Nothobranchius furzeri: one gene and its partner. The protein of the gene in region 2 binds, or shares a complex with, the protein of the main gene of each other region. Links are inferred from orthologs where the notes say so. Each region holds a gene or a part of one and is shown on either strand. Other genes may lie near its edges.

What was found.
Region 1: the proteins of kank1a (region 2) and eif4a1b are in contact, whole or in part, in a crystal structure (PDB 7DDX), measured with the Mus musculus proteins. The link is inferred for Nothobranchius furzeri from reciprocal best matches to the Homo sapiens genes KANK1 and EIF4A1. Residues at the interface, in NP_852069.4 of Mus musculus: Gly1168, Asn1169, Asn1171, His1175, Tyr1176, Val1178, Asn1201, Lys1202, Ala1203, Tyr1205, Met1209, Leu1210, Leu1213, Ala1214, Ala1215, Gln1240, Ala1241, Leu1248, Ser1251, His1252, Arg1254, Asp1273, Glu1274, His1285; in NP_659207.1 of Mus musculus: Lys99, Val140, Arg141, Val144, Gln145, Lys146, Leu147, Gln148, Met149, Glu150, Ala151, Arg168, Arg169, Tyr170, Ser172.

The regions. Positions count from the first base shown.
Region 1 is NC_091743.1:86,635,168-86,647,503, reverse strand, and holds eif4a1b (eukaryotic translation initiation factor 4A1B), read right to left. Parts: upstream 7,530-12,336; 5' UTR 7,445-7,529; coding exon 7,422-7,444; intron 6,346-7,421; coding exon 6,303-6,345; intron 6,056-6,302; coding exon 5,923-6,055; intron 5,675-5,922; coding exon 5,535-5,674; intron 5,041-5,534; coding exon 4,872-5,040; intron 4,725-4,871; exon of another isoform or gene 4,584-4,724; intron 4,421-4,583; coding exon 4,311-4,420; intron 4,218-4,310; coding exon 4,074-4,217; intron 3,996-4,073; coding exon 3,858-3,995; intron 3,754-3,857; coding exon 3,664-3,753; intron 3,444-3,663; coding exon 3,364-3,443; intron 3,262-3,363; coding exon 3,117-3,261; 3' UTR 3,072-3,116; exon of another isoform or gene 2,750-3,071; 3' UTR 2,319-2,749; downstream 1-2,318. UniProt on the Homo sapiens protein: ATP-dependent RNA helicase which is a subunit of the eIF4F complex involved in cap recognition and is required for mRNA binding to ribosome.
Region 2 is NC_091750.1:37,653,264-37,664,955, reverse strand, and holds the end of kank1a (KN motif and ankyrin repeat domain-containing protein 1a), read right to left. Parts: exon of another isoform or gene 11,626-11,692; intron 9,782-11,625; coding exon 7,229-9,781; intron 6,474-7,228; coding exon 6,300-6,473; intron 5,088-6,299; coding exon 4,979-5,087; intron 4,814-4,978; coding exon 4,616-4,813; intron 3,812-4,615; coding exon 3,724-3,811; intron 3,425-3,723; coding exon 3,205-3,424; intron 3,123-3,204; coding exon 2,980-3,122; intron 1,594-2,979; coding exon 1,393-1,593; intron 1,223-1,392; coding exon 1,124-1,222; intron 1,045-1,123; coding exon 982-1,044; 3' UTR 752-981; downstream 1-751.

The DNA of each region.
Region 1 (12,336 bases), on a different chromosome or scaffold from region 2:
AGTTGTGATTCAGCTAAAAAGTGTGATGAAATTGGTCTGGACAAAACAGATGGAACAGAGCTCCTTCCACAGACGTTCTACCGGATCAGGGCTCACTGAAGACAAGTTTAGATGTGTCCAATGTTTGGTTCTGATCCATTCGTGGTGTTTCTAGCTGTGTGTTGATGTTCATCATCCAGCTGGAGGACATCCTGAAGCTTTCTGACCCTGAGCACATCTGGATCCAGAAGGTCTTGAGATTTGATTGGACCCTGAACAGATTTAGGACTCCCTGGTCCCATAGCAGGTCAAACGATCTATCTTAGGTGGTTTTGAAGTTTGCAGATGACACCATAGTGGGTCTCATAACAAACAACGATGAGACCCTCTAAAAAGAGGAGATGCAGCACCTCACTCAGTGGTGTTCTTTGAACAACCTGGTGCTCAACACCAGTAAGACCAAGGAGGTCATGGTGGACTTCAGGAGGTCCAACAGGACAGAGCACCCACCTCTACTCATTTGGGGGGAGCTAGTAGAATGCGTAGACAACATCAGATTCCTGGGCATCCACATCACCTCAGATCTAACCTGGTCACTGAACACTTCCTTTCTGGTAAAGAAGGCCCAACAAAGACTTTTCTTCCTTAGGAAACTGAAGGGAGCCAATGTTGTAGCCGATCCAAAAGTATGTCATGATCGACCGTGTCAAAGGCCGCAGACAAATCTAACATCCAAAGAGTGACAGCATTCCCCCCCCCCCCCCCCCCCCCCCCGTCACAAGCTAAAAAACATCATTAAGAACCATTAAAATTGCAGTCTCGGTACTGTGACCTGCTCTGAACCCTGACTGAAAGATCTCCCAGAAATCGTGAGTGTCTAAAAATGCAACCAGCTGTAAATATACAACCCTCTCAAGCAGCTTAGATAAGTAAGGTACTGTAGGTGTGAGATAGGTCTGTAATTGGCCAACACAGCCTCCTCCATCCCCTTCTTTTTCAGCAGTGGTCGTACAACAGCCCTCTTAAAAGTAAGGGGGACCACACAAGAGGCCAGACTGGTATGTATATATAAGGGGCCAGAACAGAAAAAGCCTCCTTAAGCATCCTTGGGGATGAGCATCATAAGGGGAACCAGAAGGTTTTTGCTTGGAAATGAGTTCCTCTAGCTCTGTCATGGATATATAGTCTGAAAGGCTGGCAGGTTTGCCCTAAGTGGCATAGGCTCCACAAAAACAGGAGTGTGGCCTACGATAGCAGTCCGAATCATCGGTATGTTGTCCACAAAAGTAGTGAAGAAAATCCTCACGTCCCGGCCTTCGCAGCCGTGGACCTGGAGGCAGAAGATGCAGTTTCCAGTACTGAGTCACCTTAAAGAGTGCGTGGGTCATGAGAATTTGATTCCACAATGTTGGCATAATATCTGATCCTAGCCTGTCGTACCACTTGCTGGTAATCAAAAAGTGACTTTTTATAAATTTCATAGGACACGTGATGTTTGTAATTGGTGGGTCGCTGGTTTGAATCCAGGCTGTCTTCTGCTAGTCATGGTGTCCTTGAATGATTGTCCTGTCAAGCACTCCAGACCTTCATTATTACTATTATCTTCTTCCATGATGCTCATTGAGACAGAACTTTGACCGTGGACTTCTCGAATAGTTCTGGTTCTTTTCTCCACCCTCAGCACCACAAGTTGGACCAACCTGCTCATGAGTCCACATCTTAGGAAGTCGTCTTCAGTCCAGTGGACTTTAGTTGAAGTCATGGGAACATCACCTGTAACATCTATAATCTGAGCTCCAGTCCAGGATCAATGTGGTCCACACCAAACCAGAGCACCCATCAGCGCTTTGGTTCCTAGAAACAAGCTGGTTGCGATAAAACGGCTCCTGCGATGCAAAAAGTTGTTTTCGCTTCATGCAGGTAAGGCCGGGTCACCTGTTACTGATCTCTGATGGCTCAGGAAACAGGTCTGGTACCTTGTGTTGCGTGATAATGTTCAGGGCAGCTTTTCCTATAGATCCACGTTCTAAATGTGCAGCCAGGAGGGTCGTGATTGTTCTCCGTGTCAGAAATGGTTTAATAAATGTTTTTCCGGTTTACGTCAGAACCAGAACTACACAGGAGCCGAGCTGCTGCCTCTAGCTTCACCTCCAGCCTTCAGCCAATCAGAACCAGCACCTGACTTCAAAAGGAACTGGTAGGCCTGCTCAGACCAGTAAAGCAGGATGGACAGACCACATTTCTAACCCCCACGGTCATGTGACCAACCCCTTCAGAACAGCTGGAGTGCAAGGATCCACTGTTTTTCTGGTTTTGAATGCAGAGCCAAGTTTACACTGTTAAAAAGGAGAAATCTTTATTTTTAAAAGGCCATTAAAATAAATACTTTACAGAAAGCAATGTAGAAAACTTGATACACGATCTCAAAAAAAAGGTTAAGTCATGTTAAAGAGGCTAGAGGAGGTATGAAGAGGGGTATCGACCGGTTTAGGAGAGGATTTCACCTCCGTTTTCTGGTTTGGTCCTTTAATGTCACTTCTCACCCCCCCTCCCACCCCATTAGGGTTTAAAACAAACAAGTCTAAAAGCACAAGGCTGAAGCTCAGGAAATCTGGTGCTGGAGGCAAAGTTTCACACCACGTTTGGATTAACAGCTCTTTATTAAATCAGCCTCACATGCTCCTGAACCGGATCTCTTCTACATGAACGGGTGAACGCTGCAGAGTCCCACTGGAGTCAGGAAATACTGGTCTGGTCAAACCCAGCGCCCCTGTGGGGTTAAAGCATCGAGTTGTGGAGTGTAAACTGTAGTTGCAACCAGGAGACACCCGAGCGGTGCTGCACTAAACACTTCAAGACACTGCTCATGTTCACACTTGTGATCAACCAGACAGGAGCGCCGGCTACAGAACAAGAACCACGTGCATCAGCACCGAGCCGCTAACGCTCAGGTGCTGGTCTGATCAAACTACAGCAGAAAGATGAAGCAGTTCATGAAAGGCCAACAACAACGTCAAGTGTCTGGATGTAAAAACTCATGATGGAATTCAAAGAAAAATAATCAGATCATAAAGTTAAAAACGAGATTTTACTTCTAAAATAAGCAGACTGGGGCAAGAAGAGCCTGTGGTATCTTTCTAGATCAAATCAGCCACGTTCATGGGCATCTCCTCGACGGTGGTGTTGTAGAACGTCTCAATGTCTCTCAGGGTTCGCTTGTCATCTTCGGTCACCATGTTGATGGCTACGCCCTTCCTTCCAAAACGACCACCTCGACCAATCCTGAAGGGAGAACCAAAAGCAGGATGAAGAGCTTCACCAGAACCAGGAAGAGGTGGTGCTGGTGGGGTCATAGTGAGGAAACCGCAGTATTTCTGCGAGTACCTGTGAATGTAGTTCTCTCTGTTGGTTGGAAGGTCGTAGTTGATAACGAGAGACACCTGCTGGACATCAATCCCTCTGGCCTGAAGGAGAACACATATGTTAACCATCTCCATACACACACACACGCCAGCTGCTGGACGTGTAACCCGCCATTCAGTTGAGAGCTTCAGACTTGAACCGAGTCACAGTGGAGGACGGGTGAGTTACTTTCCCAAAGAACAATCAGTCCTGCACCACCACCACAGATGGGAGGAGAGGGAACTCTGGGGTGTGTGTGTGTGTGTGAGAGAGAGGACGCACCAGCAGGTCAGTGGTGATGAGGACTCGACTGGAACCAGAGCGGAACTCCCTCATGATCAGGTCTCGTTCCTTCTGGTCCATGTCACCGTGCTGAGAGAGACAAAATAAACCTGAAACCAGCCGAGCTTCAGTCTGAATTTCTACGGAGGATATGCAGCGGGTCCTGGTTCCACCAGGCTCTGAGAGGCCGTTACCAGAGCAGAAACGGTGAAGTCTCGGGCATGCATCTTCTCAGTGAGCCAGTCCACTTTCCTCCTGGTGTTGATGAAGATGACGGCCTGTGTGATGGTCAGGGTTTCATACAGATCACACAGCGTGTCCAGCTTCCACTCCTGTACACACAACCAAGTCAGATGGTCAGCCCAGGTTCTACACACCCATAACAGACCATGCTGCCCAAGCTGGTTCACCTCCTTCTCCACATTGATGTAGAACTGACGAATACCCTCAAGGGTCAGCTCCTCCTTCTTCACAAGGATCCGGATCGGGTCTCGCATGAATTTCTTTGTGACCTCCAAAACATCAGCAGGCATTGTGGCCGACAGAAGGACAACCTATCAGCACCAAACCACGAGAACAGCATGAACACCAACCCTTTTCTACACCTAGACTGTGGTCTGAAGGTCCCAGCCCTCCTGGAGTCTTACCTGGATGTTGCTGGACAGTTTCTGAAAGATCTCGTAAATCTGATCCTTGAATCCTCGACTCAGCATCTCATCAGCCTCATCAAGCACGAACATCTTGATGTATTTAGAGGCTGAAAAACAAAACGCCGCTTTTTAAGTTCCTGTACAAATGCTAGAACCTGATGTTGAAACGCCTTCCTATTTTAAGTCCTCCTTCTGGGAAGTCACTTCAGACAGGACTTCTTGTTTTCATTCACACTAAGTCCAGAGAGCTAAAGGTACCTCCTGACACAAGTACTCAGAACCATGAGGGTGTGATCATGTCTCCAAGTCCCTGATGTTGTGAAAACCCAGGTCAGCAGAACGCTAGCCTGAACATCACCACACCAGGACGACTCAAGAGTCAGTTGACACGCATGGATTTCATCATCATACTGCACTTCCTGGGTTCAGGAAGTGATCTGTTAAAAGAAACAACCCACTAACCCAAAGAACCCGACCATTTGGTACCTTCTAGGCCTGGTCCAATACAAGTCCATCTACCAGAAGTGTGTCATTCCCAGAGACGGATAAAGTACTCACAGATGTTTTTACGTGTTATCATGTCAAAGACACGGCCCGGGGTTCCCACCACGATGTGAGGAGCTTCCGCCTGCAACTTCTGGACTTCACTGCGGATGCTGGTGCCCCCAATGCAGGCGTAGCAACTGGCCCCCATGTAGTCGCCAAGAGCCAGAACCACCTTCTGGATCTGCAAACACAAGCCAGGTGGTTTGTGAGGAACCACAACCCTAAACCAACGTCAGACTTAAGGTGAGGAAGATGTGGCAGCAATGCACTAAACTCACTAGTCACCCAGTCTGTCCCCACCTAGTAGTAAAGGGCCTACAACCCCCCCCCCAAGGTGCTTCACAACATGGTCATCCACTCATTTAAGCTGGCTTTCACGCGACCTTCGTCAACACTGTCCTTATTTTGCTCAACCTATCCCGCCTTTCCCAGGAGCCACTGATCGTTTTCCACCCCCCCCCTCCCCTTTTTTACATTTTTAAAATCACAATTTTGTATTTTGGCATTTAACTCAATTTCAACCCAAGTAGGTCTAGTGGGTGGGCGGAGGGAAGAGCGATGAGGAGCTCTTGCTCATGCTGGGCGAGCCAGTTTTAAGTCCCTTGGGTCAGTTCAGTCACAGGCCTGTTGAGAAATCAATAGCCAACACCCTAACTGGTGTGACTGGGTCCTTACCTGCTGAGCCAACTCCCTGGTGGGAGCCAGAACCAGAGCCTGGGTGCCTTTCAGCTCTATGTCGATCTGCTGGAGGATGGAAATGGCAAATGTGGCAGTCTTCCCAGTGCCAGACTGGGCCTGAGCAATCACATCGTAACCTGGAGACCAGAGAGACGGAAAGGGTTTTCAACTAAACTAATCCAGATCATCATCACCAACTCCACTCCAGCTGGCTGATACGGGCTTGTCCTAAAGGTGCAACATTAGCCACATCAGGGCTGATGAGTCATCGGTACGATGATGTTGTGTAACCAGTCAACCACACAAGACAAAACAAAGCTGCTGAGATTTTAGTTAATCTAAGGAAAACACTAAAGTGCACCCTGAGGCCAGTCCTCTTACCTACCCTTGATACAAGGGAGAATAGCTCTTTGCTGGATAGCAGATGGCTTCTCAAAACCATAAGCATAGATTCCCCTGAGCAGAGTTTCACGCAAGTTCATCTCATCAAAACTGTCCACGATCTGGTTCCAGTTGCTCTGGGAGACAGAAACAAGGCAGAGTGACGTCAATATTTCCTACAAATGCTGATCGGATGAGACCAAGACAGAATCAGCAACAAGGCCTTAGAATCAAAAGGATCCTGTTCATTTTAAACTCAGTCCAGATGGAAAAGCTTAATCTCTCCTAATCATACAAGGCAGTTACTGCACATGTGAAACATCAAATATGTAAAAAGCAGGAACACATCTACGTCAGAAACCTTTAATTAGTAGAAATTTTTACCTCGATGATGCCATCGGGCTCCATGCCCTCGGGGCCATTGTCTCTGAAACCAAACAATGAATATTCATTAAAATCACGGATCCATCATTTCTCTGGGTTCCGTCAGCAGACGGGTCCGGTAACGGGTCCAGAACGATCGGAACCAGCCCGGTAGTCTGTAGAACCGACCGAAGTCGTTAAACGGTAAAGCGACCAGACTGGATCCTTCAACGGAGTCCGCCATTTTTATCGTAGGCCGCATTCAAGATGGTCGATCCGACCAGCTAGCAAAGGCACTGAAACAGGCCGTGGCCCGGAAAACATTCGAGTTTACGGTCAGATGAAGTATTTAACGAGCAAAAACGGAACATGACGTTCCGGATGGCAACGGTCCAGCGAGACAGAGTTAGCTTGTAGCCACGGCCTGCTAACTTAGCTGGTCCTAAGCGGGCCTCTGGGTCTCTACCCAAGGATACAGCTAGTAGAATCCATCACCAACAATTTCCTTGCCGAGGGAAACCGTGAGGAACGGATTAGGGTTGCTCCAGCGGCGGCAATGACAGAAAAATGAAAAGTCGCGTTAGCATGTCCACCCTCCCAGTTAGCGCCGCCATGTGCACCGATCACCGAGGCCAGAACATCTAACGCCTACGCTAACGGGAAGGCTGCAAATGGTCGGTTGTACGCGAGAAATCACAGACGGAACATCATTTCGCTGGTTTTGGTAACGGAGTGACGGCAGACACCCTAAACTACCAAGTCGGCGAAGGCCTGGAGCCCTCACGTGCTACACGGAACCGGCAGCCTTTTCTTTTTTCTCAGGGCCGACATCTTTAATACACGTTCACTCTTCTGGCGAATACAAATACGCGATTAAACCTACAAAATCAACTTTTGAACTGGTTTACCTAAGTGATATCAGTATCGATCAATAAGACTGAGATTCTAGCATCACCACTGAGAACAGGCCTCTAACAAGGCTAGTCCTTTTAATAAGCCACTCGCGGTGCCTCAAAGTCTATATTACGGGCGAGTTCCTAGTCACCAATTCTCACAATTCGACACAAAAAACACAAACGGCAATAAATATCGTAAATAAAACAGTATAATATTGTTTGAACAATTCGTTATTTCACTGACCTGTTATCATATTCAGCCGACATTATTCCAAAGAAAGAATCCGGGGCAGAAAATTCTTATATATGAAGAACTCACAACGTCGCATTTTCATTGGACAACATCACCGTCACTTTTCTGTAGACCCGCCTGTCGAGGTTCGTGATTGGTCCACTCCTACATGTATTTTTAAAAGGCGGGACTAGGCGGAACTTTGCTTTCCACCAGAAAGAGGTAGGGATCTTTTTCGTTTAAACGATCAAAAACAAACATTGACAAGAACGAAAGTCTATTAGAGATAAAAAATCATGGTTTGTTACTGAGAGCGAAGCGGGACGCGGGGACTTGATTCAGAGCTGACTTCAAACCTTTACTGTAAGAACAATAATGCCCAAAAAGGGCAAAACGTTAACCGCAATAGTAAAATAAATGCGAAATGTTGACCTTTAATGGCTGATAAAATGGGTCAATAATGAGAATCATTTTCAGTTGAACATTAACTTACACCGCACATTCAGAGTTTATTCATTTTCTAAGTTATTGTGAGGTTGGACTCTTTTTACAGTGCATAATTAGTACATCAAATGTATTGTACCAAAGTGTTTTATCCCTCCCAAAATGTTGTAAAACAATTACAAAAATGTATTTTCTTATAAACATTTCTGCAGTTCTAATAAATTGTCACAGTAATTCTTTTTGACAGCAGTAATGTGTTGTTTTGTCCTACCTGTGCAGGTCAGCTGAGCTCTGACCTCAGTGGCGATAGTCCGTGCTCCCTACATCTGTTATCTGTAAACTTTCTCATTCTGTCTGTTTTGGTCAAAGAGTAAAGGCCACTTGAATCTTCAGATATGTTAATCCATAGATGTTTAAAATCACGTTTCACCACAAGTGTAAATGCTGCGGTCGAGTCCAAAATCAACACATTTAGGATGAATCATTTTTAGTTCACTAAAGCAAGAGTGGCTCAGAATGGCCGGACCTGCTGGAAGGTTCTGTAAGAATATACTCCACTTGTTCGGGTCATGAAATGTTTTTTTATGTAAATTATGAATGATCATCTAGGGATGCACCGATACGATACCAATACCAGTATCGGTAAAAGTTAACCGATACCAATGCAGTTGCTTGAAAATGGCTTCACTGTAACTTGTCATTTCTGTTCACCTAATATTTTGGTTTTGTGATGATTTCTTTTCATATATTTTACTTTTTATCTACCTCACAGTCCTCCTGTTGAAAGCAGAGAAGAAAATAAAATCTGAATTCCAAATCATTGCATTTTTTTGTGTGGTAGAAGTATCGGTAGTGGTAATCGGTATTGTGAGTACTCAGATCCAAGTATTGGTATCGGTTTGGAAAAAAGTGGTATCGTTGCATCCCTATTATCATCACACTGACTTTATGGATGACTAGCTACTCAAGCTTTAAATACACAGTTTGTTTGCCACATGTTTTTTTTATTTTAGCAACCATAATGCATCATAGAAGATATAGAAAACAACTCTGTTGCATCAACTGAGGAAAACAGGATGCAAATCTAAAAACACAACTATCCACAAGTATGATGTTTATTTTGTGTATATATTTTTATATATATATACACTGGAACAAAAAAAAAGAGAGAAAGCACGTAACTCAGTTGTGGACATATGGTGCCTGTTGTGTAGCTGCTGTGGTCCCCACCAAAATGGCTTAAAAAAACCTAAAACATTTTTTAGACTTACTGCAAAAGAACAGAAAACGTAGTCCGTTTCAACACCATTAGTTCAAAGCAATACGCATTTCACCACATTTACTGACAGGAATAAAAACACAGTAAAAAGACAAAGTAGAGGCTCCCCTCACTCTGGGTCTTTGTTTGGCTGCCCTGAGACGCAGAAACAAAAACTCACATTACTCAGTTACATTTGTTACTGGAGAAGGCAAAAAGGTTACGGTGCTGGAGCCGGGGGGGGGGGTCTGGCTTGTCCGCTGACGGTGAAGCTCAAACAAACTTCTTATGAAAACCCTCTCCTGGCAGCATTTACTCCAAGATCCAGGCCCAGCGCTGACCCAGCTGAAGACATCGATGAGGGGTTCGGATCAAACTACACAGAGAAATGGTACCAACACAAACTGACATTGTCCAAAAACTCACTCTAGCATTTTATTATGGGTGGCAATATTGTTGGTTTTACAAAAACAAAAACCGTGAGGAGCATGAAATGATGACAAACTAGAACCGCCTCCTCTAAACCCTTATTCGTGCTTCAGAGTCAACAGTAGGATGAACAATAAGCTCATTCCCAACATGGATGCTGGTCTTCATCTCTGGCAGCTACTATACAGGAACTACGGCGTTAAATTCAAACCAACTTTTCAGAAGGGTGAACTGAGGGAAGCAGACTAAAGGAAAACGGTGACAGTGGATATGCAAAGTGTCTTTTCTCAGGAGGAGTCAACAAAGGCTTTGTTTAGTCCTTTCTCCAGCCCATCAGTTCCTACCCTTGTCCTTCAGTTGTTTCATCACCTCTGTGTGGTTGGGATGAGGGGGCTAGAGGTGAAAGGTCACAGGGTGAGCTTGCAGTGGCACAGTTCTTTGTACATTTGCCTCCTGAGCTGGGGCATGTTCTGCTGCCCGAAGCCGAACGGCTGTCCTAGAGCCAGACACTTACAGTACTGCGACAGGGAGGAAAAAGAACAGACACAAGTTACTTTTATGCATTCACCTCCTAACAGCACCAAGGCACGCTCACCAGGAAACGCTAACCCAACGCTTCATGTCTGTGCTGCAGACGGCTGCAGGTTCTAGGTTTTACTGGACAGTTGTGTCCCACTCAGAGCAGCGCGGTTAGGCCATCTCCGTTAGTAACACGTCTGTAGTCACCGCTCTTTTTTCACACTTGAATCGATGTGGTTCCAGGCCTAACGACCCGGGCCGATAACGGTGAATGTCGGTCAGTGTTTGGCTAGGGGGTGGAGTCCGCCTCGCTGCCTGCAACCTTTTCAGGGTCTGACAAAAAGCAACTGACTGAGCAGAATGTTCGGCATCACTACCGTGTTCTTCTCTGTTGTGTTTTGTGTACAAATCACCTCGCGGTACTGATGTGCTGGGTCGCCCACGCCCACCCACTGCAGCCGTAGTGGAAAGCTCCCGTTACACAAGGAACTCAGACACATTTCACTCATTCTGAAATGCATTTGAGTGTAAAAACAAACAATCCTTTCTTAGCCAATCGCAGCCAAGCGTTGTTGTGGTTAACGTGTTGGTGCGGCTGTTTAAAGGGACATTATGGAAGTGTGACAGCCAAAACATGTATAGAAATAATAAATGTCTTTTTCATACGTTCTCCTGCAATGCCCTGGTCCTGTAGAATGAGCCCTGGCATTTTTACTGTGATTGCCTGTTTTTCTGTAAAATCACAGAAAAAGAGAGATGCTCGGGTCGAGCAGGCTGCTTCATGCGCGTTCACGCTCAGGCATCGCCCGTAGCATTTGCTATCCGTAGCTTTAGCAGCAGAGAGAGAGGCAGTGCCACTTTGTCGCTGTTCCTAACGCCTAGTGACAAAGCTAGCTACATTTCTGAGGACCCTTAGCTACTTTCTGTAGAACTTTCTTCTAGATATTTCCTGCTAATTAGCAACAAAATAGCCATTTTCACTCCGAACCGTTCTTTGAACGTTGTTTCAGCTGCAATCAAGGATATAAACGTTACAGATACAAAGGGTGTCACTGGCGCTTTAGCTCACCTAGTAAGACGTCGGACTCTTGTGTGGGAGACCCGGGTTCGAATCCAGATGTGAACATATTTACTTGAGAGTTTATTTTTTACATTAATGGTATATATTTTTACAGTAAGATGTACAAATTTTTATTTGAGACTTGCCGATCAGCATTGAATTCACAGATAAAAAGTTGTGGGTTCAACTTTCATTTTGGAACAATTTTTCAAGCAAGGGAAGGGAATGATCTGAGCATGCAGGAGGACTGACCCATCATAAACCTTTGTCGGCTGTGCTGAAGAGAAAGGTACAGAACCAAATTATTTAATTAATTAGCTGCGCGTTCTCCTGTCCTCCGGGCCACACACACACACACACACACACACACACACACGACTGTCTCAGCTGTTATTTTCGTTAAGGAGTGTGCACGTACAGCATGCGCGCCTCGTGCACGAGCCTACTATTGAAGCTGCCGTTACGCTTTTGGCCTGAGGGGGCAATCGCGAGCATAAAAATTCAAAAGTCCGTAAAGTCCCTTTAAACATAGGTGCACATCAACTCGGCTCCAGGACTTTGGGTTCCACCAACAAAGTGTCCCAGCTGATCAGCGTGTGATCACAGCTGATGGGAAACCAGGAGTACTGGGCAACAAGGGTCTGTTTAATGGTGCAGCCTGTATGTGTGATCAACTACTGGGACTGGTTGCAAACTCACCTGTAGTACAAAAGCACCACAGTCACTGTCGTTGTTCTGGCGACCCACATTCTGTAAAACACCAAAACAACATCAGTATCCAGGAGGTCAGAATATCACCGCTCAGCAGCTACAGAAGGAAACAGTCCAGCTTTACCATTTTAAAAAGGCCTTTCCACCCCATCAAAAAGTCAGGTTTGTCTTTTTTGATGGCTTCAGCTTGAAGGTACTTGAAAATATGCTGAAAAAGAAAATAAATTAAGTCTTTGAAAATCACAATCCGATCATATCTAGTGCACACGACTTGGACTAATCTAACCTAATCATAAACCCACCACACCAAATTAAAAAGATCCATAGTTCATACATCACATCATTTAGGATTCTGTATTACTGACATCTATAGAGAAGTGGAAGTTCTGCAGCATAGCTGTTGTGTGTTTTCAGCTCTCAGACCAGACACCTGCCTAAAGCCGGGCGTACACTGTGCGACTTCTTCACTTTTTTGAGCCGATTTTCCACTCGTGCGAGAATCCACG
Region 2 (11,692 bases):
GCTCAGCAGAACAAGTCCTGTCACACTGGAAGGTAGCTTCCCAGTAACAAACTCCTCTGAATCGAAGCCATTCAGGAAGCATCTAGGATGGGAATTATTCACCAAGTCAGACTTAAACATTTGCTTTCTGTAATGCAACTTTCACGGAAAAAAAAGGAAACCAACTTGGACTTGGGGCAGCTATAAACCTACATATGGGATCTTTTTTCCCTACTCTTTCCAGCAGAACAGAAAGATGGAAAAGTTTCAGAAAGTAAAACATTTCTAAAAATACATTTGTGTTTTCCAAAAACTTATTTATTAATCTAATAATTTCATGCTGTATAAAAACCAACCCAGCAGAGGTTGCTTCGGTTTCAACATCAGACCAAAGCTGCAGTTTAAACTTTTATTGAAAGGTTTTTGTTACAAGTTTCAGGCACTCGAGTCCCCGTCAGGATGACGTCAGCACCTGGACGAACACTAAAGACAGGATTATCTTACACAAAACGCCGAACAACTCCGCCGTATGTACACTCAAATACACTTCTGCAATAAAACTATACTCTGATAAATACATAACTTCATGGGTTGTTGAGGATTATTTAGGAATTATTCAAAATACTGTTAATCGTCTTTAAATACAAAGAAGGAAAGTCCATCAGGTCACATCGAATTCACCAGGAGGCAGCAAGGAGACGTTACTCTAGTGTGTGTGTGTGTGTGTGTGTGTGTGTGTGTGTGTGTGTGTGTGTGTGTTTTGAAAGGACATCTGTAGAGTTTTGCTGGTCTGAGCGGAGTCGGCTGCTGATGGCGAGCGTTTCAGGCACCTCGTGGCTACATTCATGTTCAAAGGACACTTTGGGCTCAATGAGAGGGAAGTGGAACAAATAATCCCAGAAATCAGACAGGTTGGTTGTTGGGATCAAGTCCCTCTTCCATCGTTCAGCGAGAACCAATAGCAGCACAGAGTTTATCCACCGAGGAGGGACGGGGCGGGGTCTAGTCAAATACACCCTTCCGAGTGGGACTTGGTGATGTCTTCCTGCTGAGTCGAGGCGTTCCCTGGAAAACAAACACGTGAGGACAGGAGAGCTTCAAGGTCCCAAACCGAGAGTCGGAGGACAGAAGAAGACAAACATACCGAAGCCTGAGCTTTGGAGAAGTTAACGTGCGCATAAAGCAGCACCGCGATGTCCTTGTGTCCAGCCTCCAGAGCGATGGACAGAGCGTTACTCCCATCCTGAAGGGGGCAGAGAAGATGTCAAATCTAACTACAGCTCATTTATTTCAGTAAAGACACCCAAACACGTGAAAACACGAGGCTTTCGTTGTGAATAAAAGGTGAGTTCTGATGAAAAGAATCAGAACAAACATTAATCTGATACGGTTTCCCTTCCCGAGTCGACTCACGCTGTCACTGAGCGTGGCGTCGCAGCCCGGCTGGGCCAGCAGCAGCTTGACGATCTCCACGTGGCCGTGCTCGCTAGCACACATCAGCGCCGTGGAGCCCTCGTCGTCCTGGACATTGACGTTGGCGCCGTGAGCCAGCAGGGCTCGAACCATGTCCATCCTGCCGTGGCTGACAGCCAGCATCAGACCCGTCTGACCGGCCTGGAGCACACGGATCACATTTACAGGAACAATTAAAACGAGGGATGAACGATATCGGCTTTTTTACCGATATCCGATATGTCGATATCGTCTGACTCTTAATTTCTGATACTGATATAAACCAATACCAATTTGCTCATAAAAAACTAACACATTTAGCTTACAAACACCACAAATCTCCTGTCATGCTTAAATTTTAAGTATTTTATGTGCAAAATAACTATAATTAAAGTCAGTAACGGGAAAATTTTATGTGCGGGCAGCAGAGGACGATGTCGCCCTCTGCTGCCCGCACATAAACGGAAGTGACGCCACAAACAGCTGGCCGTTCCGGCTGAAACGTGTAAAAGTTAAAAAAAATTTTAATTACTGCACTGTGGTAAATAAGAAAAATGATGATTATGAATCAGTACACAGAACTAACATTCAGAAGAGTTTTAAAAACAAGCCTCGAGTGGATTCTTGTTTTAGTCATTTGTTAGCAGCTACACGTAGCTGCGTGCCGTTAGCTGCTAGCTACACGTAGCTGCGTGCCATTAGCAGCTAGTTACACGTAGCTGCTGCGTGCCGTTAGCTGCTAGTTACACGTAGCTGCTGCGTGCCGTTAGCTGCTAGTTACACGTAGCTGCTTGCCGTTAGCTGCTAGTTACACGTAGCTGCTGCGTGCCGTTGGCTGCTAGCTACACATAGCTGCTGCGTGCCGTTAGCTGCTAGCTACACGTAGCTGCTGCGTGCCGTTAGCTGCTAGCTACAAGTAGCTGCTGCGTGCCGTTAGCTGCTAGCTACACGTAGCTGCGCTCCGTTAGCTGCTAGCTACACGTAGCTGCGTGCCATTGGGACAGCTTATGTTCACTACAACGGGGAAAATTTGGAGCTAACTTCTACTTTACAAGTTGTGCCAATTTGAGTAAAATGTCTCAGATCTGTTATATTTTTATGTTATAATATTTTTAGAGAGGAGAAGTAGCCGAAGAGTTTTATGTATAATAAGTGTGTGGCAGGTAAACGCTGGTTCATTAAAAGACTGAAAACCAATACAGACATTTTCTAATTATAAATTTAATCGCTGATGTCAGCAGGTATTAATGGTAGACTGATAATATTAATAGTAGACTGATAATATCAATGGTAGACTGATAGTATTAATTGTAGACTAATAATATTAATGGTGGACTAATAATATTAATGGTAGACTGATATTAATGGTAGACTGATATTAATGGTAGACTGATATTAATGGTAGACTGATAATATTAATGGTAGACTGATAATATTGAACTCTCCTAATCAAAACCCAGATGAATGGTTTTATTTCTAAAATGATAGTAAGACACACTCAGCTCCAACTGAGCTACACGCAGCTGACCTCTGACCTCTGAGACCCACCTGACTGGCTCGAGCATTCACATCGCCCTTACTGAACAGCTCCTCTACGATGCTCATGTCCTTCGGTGTCTCCACGGCTGCCAGTGCTGCCAGCATGATGGGCGTGTAGCCGGCTTTGTTCTGCTGGTTCACGTTACAAACGTCTGGAACACACACACACACACACACACACACATTACTATTCACCCTTCCTCCTTCAGGCAGAAGCCCGAGTCTGCAGCTCACCTGCATCCAGCAGCTTTTTCACCACCTGGAAGTTGGAGTGTGACACGCTGTAGTGCAGCGCTGTGTTCCCGTTCCCATCGGCCATGTTGACAATGTGGCGCAGCACGGCCGGCGAGATTCCCTCAAACGCCATCAGGTAGTCTTCCACCATTGGCGCCATCGCCGCCTTCTGACTGGACACCCGGAACCACTCGTGCTGCAGCGTATTGAGACCGGCTCTCTGAGGGGGCGGGGTTAGAAACACCTGTTAGAGCTCCAGTGTTTCAGGATAATCGAACATGGTGCAGAAAACAAGTCAAATCTTTTACTTGGTGGCAAAAATACAAGAAATCTGGTGAGTTGTTCGTCTCTTTCAAGAATCTTAAGAGTTGGAAAATAAAAGGATTCACACAAGAATCTCCCTTACATTCATTTTTTGATCTATAATGTTTAACATTTAAACTACATGTAGTTTAAGTTAGCTATAATTACCAAGGACAACAACAATAACTCAGCGGCCTTGGGAGGAGCCAGACTCACCAGGTCTTTGCTGCTCACACCCTTCGAGTCGCTGAGGGACGTTTGGAGAACGCTGCAGGCAGACGACATCTTCTCACTCAGCTCAAACCTTCCCGTAAATAAAACACCAATAAGTGTCACAAACACATTAAAACAGCTCCACACAGCAGATTTCTGACTAAACGAACCCTGATTTTAGTTAAACAGGTGTCCATCCTGCCTCTCCATGTTTAAACAGCCTGACTGATTTGGAAGCAGAAGTCCTTTGTTTACGCTGGGAGGCAATTTTCTCTCAGATTCGGTGCCGATTCACATCTTTCTGTTTAACCTTCTTTTCCTCATGATTACAGCCAATCCAGTCTGAAACCACTGGAGTTGAATCGATGATGCTCCTTACCAGGGCTTCATTTGAGCCGGATCTTGCCGGAACAAGATCCGGGAACCGTCTTATTTTGAAAGGACCGTTCCGGCAACTCACGCGACCAACTTGTGCTTATACGCCGGATTCGAATTACAGGCAAGGCCGTGGGAAGTAGGGGGTGCTGAGCGTGTTTCAGCACCCCCTTGCTCCGGCATCTGCTCTGCCTTTACTGAACTTCGGTTTGACGTCAGTATTTACGTTCCGGGAATGTTTGATTTGCGCCCGACTTTATTGAGCAGGTTTTTAGACTTCAGGTTGGATCTGAGCCCGTTTTTCTTCAGAGGATCGAGTTTAAAGCTCGGCCAGGAGCCACGGCTGATGCTGTTATTTTAACACACGTGTTCTGATTAGAAGTCGTAAATGGAGCCGATAGAACTTGGAAAATCTGGGCTCCATTGGTAATGCCTGTTCAGTTACAGAAGTCTGATGTTCTGGAACCAAACAGTCAGTTAACCCAGTTTTATAAACAAACGCAGACATCTGATCACTCACCTCTCTCTCTTCTCCTTCCTCACACTCTCCTCTTCATCCTTCGTGTCCACGTCCTCTGCTCCTTCGTTTTGGAACTCGTCCCTGATGCTCCTTCCTCCCACATCCCCGTCCTCCTCCTCCTCCTTCTCCTCATCTTCCTCCGACCCAGAGGAGCTGCTCTCCTCTGAACTCGAGTCGTCGCTGGACGTAGTTTCGGATCTGCACCAGAAGGGGGCAGTAGAGACTCAGAAACCTGCAGACCCAGGTGTTCCGCACCAACAGGCTGCAGCAGCTCAGATTTCATGTTTGCATGCAGAAGACCGTGTGGGAGTACTGGGGAAGAACTTCACCCACAAACAAACAAACATTCGATTGTTTTCTCACCCTCCGTTTACGCCGACAAACTGAAGGTTCTTCTTGGTGCCGTTGGAGTCCCCTCGTCCATCTTTCTTCTTCATGATCGACTTGAGGGTGTTCTGACTGCACGGCTCTCCTTTAGGAAACACAAACATCAAAATTAAACCCAGAAACAGCAGATGTAGTCCTAAAAGAAGATCTACAGATCCAGATTCATAAAGTTTCTGTCAAGTCTGCATCGGGGACGTTGTTCTGATGTTTGTGTATTTAAATACATGTTTTCTTTATGCTCCTGTAAACAAGAGCAGATCAGGTCAGATGTTTTCACAGAGCTGTGCGAGAGGCTCTTGGAGGCGCCTCAAAGCCAGAAGCATCTCAGTCATTTTAAGTGCTGGTCTAAAAAAACCCAGAAATGCCAGCAGAGCGGGTCAGAACCCTCACATCTGCCTGGACTTGTACTGATGGAGGGGCCTCTCTGGTGCAGCGAGGTGTGTGTGTGCGTGTGTGTGTGTGTGTGTGTGTGTGTGTGTGGCGTTTAGTAGCAACAGTCTCTACATGTTTCCAATGTTTTGACAAGTGGAGGCAAAGAAAGCAGCTAATGAGGACAAACAGGCTGTTGGTCGGGTTCTGGTCGGGTTCTGGCAGCAGGTCTAGAATCTGCAGGTGAGACCGTGGAAGACGACGACTCTGCCCTCGTCTGCTGCTGACAACAGAAGCCAAACATTTGTACGGGAGGCAGCGTGCTGTCTGAGGGGTTACAGGCTCCGCCCACATATCTGCACACATTCAAGGTGTTTAAAAGTCTCAAATACCCAGTTACTGCTAAACATATTCCAGCAACCACTGAACAAGTCAGAAGGGGCGGGGCTTAGGATTTAAACCGCAGCCAGCCAGCAGGGGCGCTTTAGTTTCCTTCCACTCCAATGATCAGGTTGGTTTGAGACTTCTACCAAGAATACTCCCGATTCGTGTCCTCGAGTCCTTTTTGATCCCTTTAAACTCGACTGTTTGACATCACAGGACACCGAGCGACTCGGACCTTGCTCAGACCAGATGAACCTGAAAGCTTTTCACTAATAAATGCAACATCAGCACTTTTGTTCTGATCCGTCTGATAAAAAATGACTTTTAAAAGATTTCTGGAAATACTTTTTCTAATTGATCAAATGACTTGTTTAAACTGTAAGCATCAGACTTGGATTAGGACCGAGACTTGTATGTCTAGTGACCTGTCTAAGCCAGACCCGCCCCACCACTGTTGAACCCATTTCCCGGTGGTTTTCTCATGAAGGTTTGTTCTGGTCCAGTAAATCTGTCTGGAGGACCACTCGGGTTCCTGGACTTTTACCGTGCAGCGCCATAGACATCTGCAGGTCCATGCGGCTCTTCTGCTCGGCTGCACTGATCTGCGGCTGCAGCACTGGGAGCTCAGGATGGTCAGTAGGATCCAGACCCGATGGGGTCCGCTCAGGCTGCGAGGGGTCCACCTGCAGAGTCGGTACCTGGAGCTGCAGAACGTTCTCTAAAAAAATAAATTAATTAAAAAAAAGGCTGAAAATGTTCAAAACCTCATAAAACAACATTTAAATTAATTATTTGACTAACACCTCATATTTCTCTTCAGCCCTGACACTAATGTCCCAAAACAGCCCACTAAAGGTCAGAACGTGATCAGAACCGAGCCTGGCTCGCAGACCTGAACCCGGTTATGTAACGGCTCCAGAGCCGTGACTCGGCACCAACAGGAGGCGTTGGCCGAGGCAGGACAGCCCACTAAAACAACAAGACGCCGCCGGCGGCTCCCAACAAACATGAGCTCATGGTTGGTTCCTGTCCAAAGCCCCCCCCCCCCCCCCCCCCCCACACACACACACACACACACACACACATTTTTTCAGGGTCAGAGAAAACTCCAGCCTGTCCGATCGGATCTGGATTCTCTTTAAACCACATCTGAACCAGGAATCCAGAATCGGACTCCGGACCGCCGGGAACAAACGAAGGACGGCTGTCGGGATTCAAATGCTGAGAAAAGTCTTAAAAGTTCTGAATAAATATATAATAAATAATTCTGATTAAAAAACGGTAAAAAACTAAACCAGAAAGACCCACGATAGTCATAAAGCTGTGGGTGTGTGTGTGTGCGTGTGTGTGTGTGTGTGCGAGTGTGTGTCCTAATTGCTCAACCCGACTCGGAGCCATTCCTCACAGGGACCTAATGTCACAAGACGCCTCTGTTCTAGTTTCGGGTGTTCGGAATGCCCGGAGCATGCTCACCTTTGCTGGAGTCTGAGTTCAGATTCAGGATGTCCTCCGAGCTCCCGTACCTCATCACCGTGTTGATGGAGGACAGCGTGCTGACCAGCTGACTGTTGATGGACCCGAACTGGGTCTGAGGCTGGCCGAACGCCTCGGCCAGCTCGCTGTAGTTCTCCGCCAGCAGCATCTGCTGCTCCTGCAGGAGCTTCTGGACTCTCTCGATGTAGTGGTCCAGCCCGGCGCCCCCTTGTGGCTGCAGCGAAGCGGCGTCGGTCTCGTTAGTGACGGGCCCGGCTGGCTGGGAAGGACCACATGCGATGTTCCTGGTTTTTAAGCCGATCAGGAAGTTGTCGTGGATGCTGACTGGACCCACACCACACTCTCTGGTTCTGGCAGAGTTTGACTGGCTCAGAGCAGATTCCAGATCCGTGGCGGTCCCGACAGCAACCGAGCGGGTTTTTGCAGCTGTGGGAAGGTCTTTGACAAGTCCCTCTCCAGCACCTACTGTTCTGGTTTCGGTTGCTGCCGTGTTGGTGTGTTTATCGCAAGTCACCAGGTTCGTGTCGGTGAACGAGTCCGTCATGTCGGCCGTCTGGGTGTTGGTGGACTGGTTTGTGAACTCCGCTTCGGTACCGGTCTGCTGCGATGCGGATTCTGGAACAGCCATGATGCCAGAGTCCTCCCTAGCGACAGCCTCCGGGTCAGTTCCCTGCGACTTAAACGTCTTGACCGGATTCACGGAACCATCTCCACAGCCGACGGACTGGGACTCCGTGTTCGGCCATGCTGTGGTTCTACAGAGAAACGATTGGTCCAGAGTCTCCTCAGCGTCGACTCCCGTCTCGAACACACTCCTCTCCGCTCCAACCTGCTTGTGGCAGGTCTCCACCCGGACCTCCACACACTGGTCCTCCACCTCCACACGCTCCCGAACCACCTGGCGGTCCATGGGAAGCTCTGGTCCTGCGGCGACGCTCCGCAGGCTGGGCTGACAGGAGACTCCGACGCTGTGGGTCTGGGGGGTTCCATCTGTGCTGAGGTGGCCCCCCACTCCCTGGTGCCGGGTCTGGACTTTGGCCTCCACGCAGGCGTTGTACATCTCCGGCCGGACCATCAAACCTTTGTCCGATCTCTTCCTATTGGACCCACCGGCTGCTTGGAGCTCCAGCTTCAGCTTTCCCATTTCCATCTGGTGTGTGGTTTCTTTAAGCTGGACCTCCAAGCGGTAGATCTTCTCCTTCAGGGCTTCAATGGCCTGCTGCTGGAGCTCGATCTCCTTCTCAGCCTCACTGGTCACTCCCAGCATGTTCTCGGTCACTACTACTGCAGCGTTCCGTGTTTCCAGCCCCTCCGTCATCACTCCAATGTCCTTTATATGACGGGCGACAGAAATGTTCATGTTCTCATCGGTTCCTACGCCAACGGACTTAAGGTGGGACTGGTTCAGTAGGACGTTTTCACACTGAACTTCAGAGACCTTGTTCTCCTTGGTGGTCTTCTCCAAAGCTTGAACCTCTGCAGCCAGACGTCTGAACTCCTCCACCCGCTGCGAACTCTGCTCCTGGACTTCCGGTTCAATGATCTTCAGCTCGGGTTCCTTTTGGATGGAGCTGGAGTTCTCCATCTGGTCGGCGCTGCCCACGCTGTAGGAACGCTTGCGGAAACCCCCGAGCCCTTGACTTTTCGACTGAGCAGCCAGCTGTCGTTTCTCCTCCTGCAGAACAGAAATCTTCACCTGCAGGATGGGGATGGTTTTCACCTGCTCCTCCAGCTCCTTTAGCCTCCTCAGAGCAACAACCATCTGCTCTCTGATCTGCTGCAGGTGCATCGGGCTGACGTTGGTCACCGGGGTGGCCATGCCGGAGCTCAGGGGGCTGTGGCGAATAGAGCTGCCCATGGATGCAGGGTAGTAATGGTTGTAGTCCCCATTGGACAGGCCATTGAGGGACAGAGGCTGGTGGGTGCTGGGGGAGATCTGGCTCGCGGCAACAGAACCGGAGTAGGAGGACAGGGAGCTGCTGGAGCCCATGCCACTGAAGCTGGCGAGGCGGCGGCGCGGCATCAGAGGCTCGCCGTGTGGCTGCATGAGCTGACGCTCCTGCTCCAGGCGACGGCGGGTCTCCATCAGGGTCTTTTCCACCTGGGAGTTGTGACGAAGGACAGACCTGGGAGAAGGAGGCGGGAGCTGCTGCTTCTGCTCGGAGATGCCGGAGTAGGACTGATGCGTCGGCGCTTCACAGGCCGCCTTGGAGACGGTCAGCGGAGCAGCGTCCTGGGGCCTGGGTGCAAAAAACACCGGGGACTGTTTGCCGTCGCTGTTGGAGGAGGACAGGGAGTCCGTGGAGGTCCATTCAGGCCGAGCGCCTGTGCTGCTGCTCCGAGGTGCCGCCAAAGGTTTGGGCACTTTGGGTTTCCTCTGGATGCTCAGCTTCCTGATGGTGTTGCCCCGCTCGATGTCGTCGACATATTTGAGGAAGTCCAGGTCCAGCTGGTATCCGTAAGGAGTTTCTACGTAGTAGGGGGCCTCGGAGTCCTTCTCATCCCCGGTGGTGAGGCATGTCTGGTCTCGTTCTGAAAGAGAAGACGCAGGAAATGACATCGTTACGGAGCATTGCTAGTCGTTCCTGGTCCTCAAAGGCCACTTCCTGCTTCCACACACCTGGTTTGGGTTAGTGGCTGATCTGCACCAAAGGGAAGGCGAGTCAGAAGAAGAAGAAATTATCATTTCTATAGCGCCTCTCAAGATAAAAATCACGAGGCGCTTCACAAAAACCAAAAATGTAAAAATATAAAAAAGAACTTAGAAAATGGTTAAAAATATATTTAAAATGAGCAAAAATAGACAATTATGATTTAAAAAAATGTTAAGAAAGAGAGAAAAGGAAAGAGGGAAATCAGTGGATCCCGAGGAAAGTGGAATAGGTGGGGAGAGCAGAATAAAGAGAGGGGGTGAAGAAGGTCATACAAAAGCCTGAACAGGTGAGTTTAAAGGAGACCACTGAGTCCACTGATCTCAGGCTCAGGGGGAGAGAGGTCCAGAGTCTGGGGGCCACAGCAGCAAATGATCGGTCACCTTTGACCTTTAGCCTGGTGCTGCACAACCAGTAGGCTTTGATCACTGGACCTCAGGGACCTGCTGGGGGTGTAGGGACTAAGAAGATCACTAATATAAGATGGTGCTTGTCCATGTAAGGCCCTATAGACCAGAACCAGGATCTTGAAATGAACCCTGAAGTTGACTGGCAGCCAGTGAAGCTGGAGGAGAAGCGGGGTGATGTGGGTGTGTTTGGAGGACTTGGTCAGAAGCCGAGCACAGGCGTTCTGAACCACCTGTAGACGTTCAGGGAGGTTCTGCTCAGACACGTGAAAAGAGAGTTACAGTAGTCTAAGCGTGAGGAGATGAAGGTGTGGAGAACTGTCTCAAGTTCAGAGCGGGACAGAATGGGACTCAGCTTAGCAACGTTCCTGAGATGGAAGAAGGATGAGCGAACAAGAGAACTGACATGAGAATCCAGAGTGAGAGCTGGGTCAAAGGTCACGCCAAGATTCCTGACAGAAGGTTTGGTGTGAGAAGCAAGCTGACCAAGAGAGTCTCTGACTTTGGGAACCAGCTTGTCTGGGGCACAGACGAGGATCTCAATAGGAAGGCGAGTCAGGTGTGTTGGAGCAGGATAGCTGAAGCATGCTGGACAGGAAACCCGACCACGCTAAACGTTCCAACAACCCTCATCTCTACAGGTTCTGCTACCGAGCAGCCAGGCTTGTCTGGGGCCGTCTACGGACCGGCCCGATATCGGCCCTCCACACCAGGACCGGTGCACCTGGGAACAGATTTTATTTGAATAAGACAAACGTCGGATGCTAAAAGCGTTGGGCATGCCGAGTGTTCCTGTGACCACTGATAATCACCATAATTGGACCTCACAAGTTCAAACCCGCCTGCATTTGTGGCGAAAACGCAGAAGTGACGATTCTGGCAGGAGAAGATTAAGGTCCGGACTAGAACTGGGAGCTAAACCAGCACAATCTCAACCAGTAACGTCAGAGAAAAGAAGAACCGGTTGTTAGAGGAAGCTTATCGGAGCGCGTTTCAGGTTTACACAACCAGCCGGTCACACGGCACCAGAACTTCTGGTCCAAAATCCAGGCTTTTGTTTACAGACAACATCTGCAGATCAATCAAAGTCCAAACTCCACAGGCTCAGCTAAACTTCCCTCTGCCAGCGTTCCAGGACTCCACATTCACTCGGCTGGCTAAAAGCAGAGCCTTGTTCTTGGAATGCCAGGAACTCCGACCCACTAAGAAAACGCAGGCTGGAAATAAACAGCCCTGTTCTTCCTCTGCTGTGGCTGCTCTCGTCAGCAGGACGGGACCAGAGTCCAGAACCTTGGTGTTCTGGTAGAGCTTCACTCACCTCGGTCCAACAGAACCTCCGGCAGCTGTCCAACAGAACACACCAGGCTGTCTCTCTCTCCGTCGTC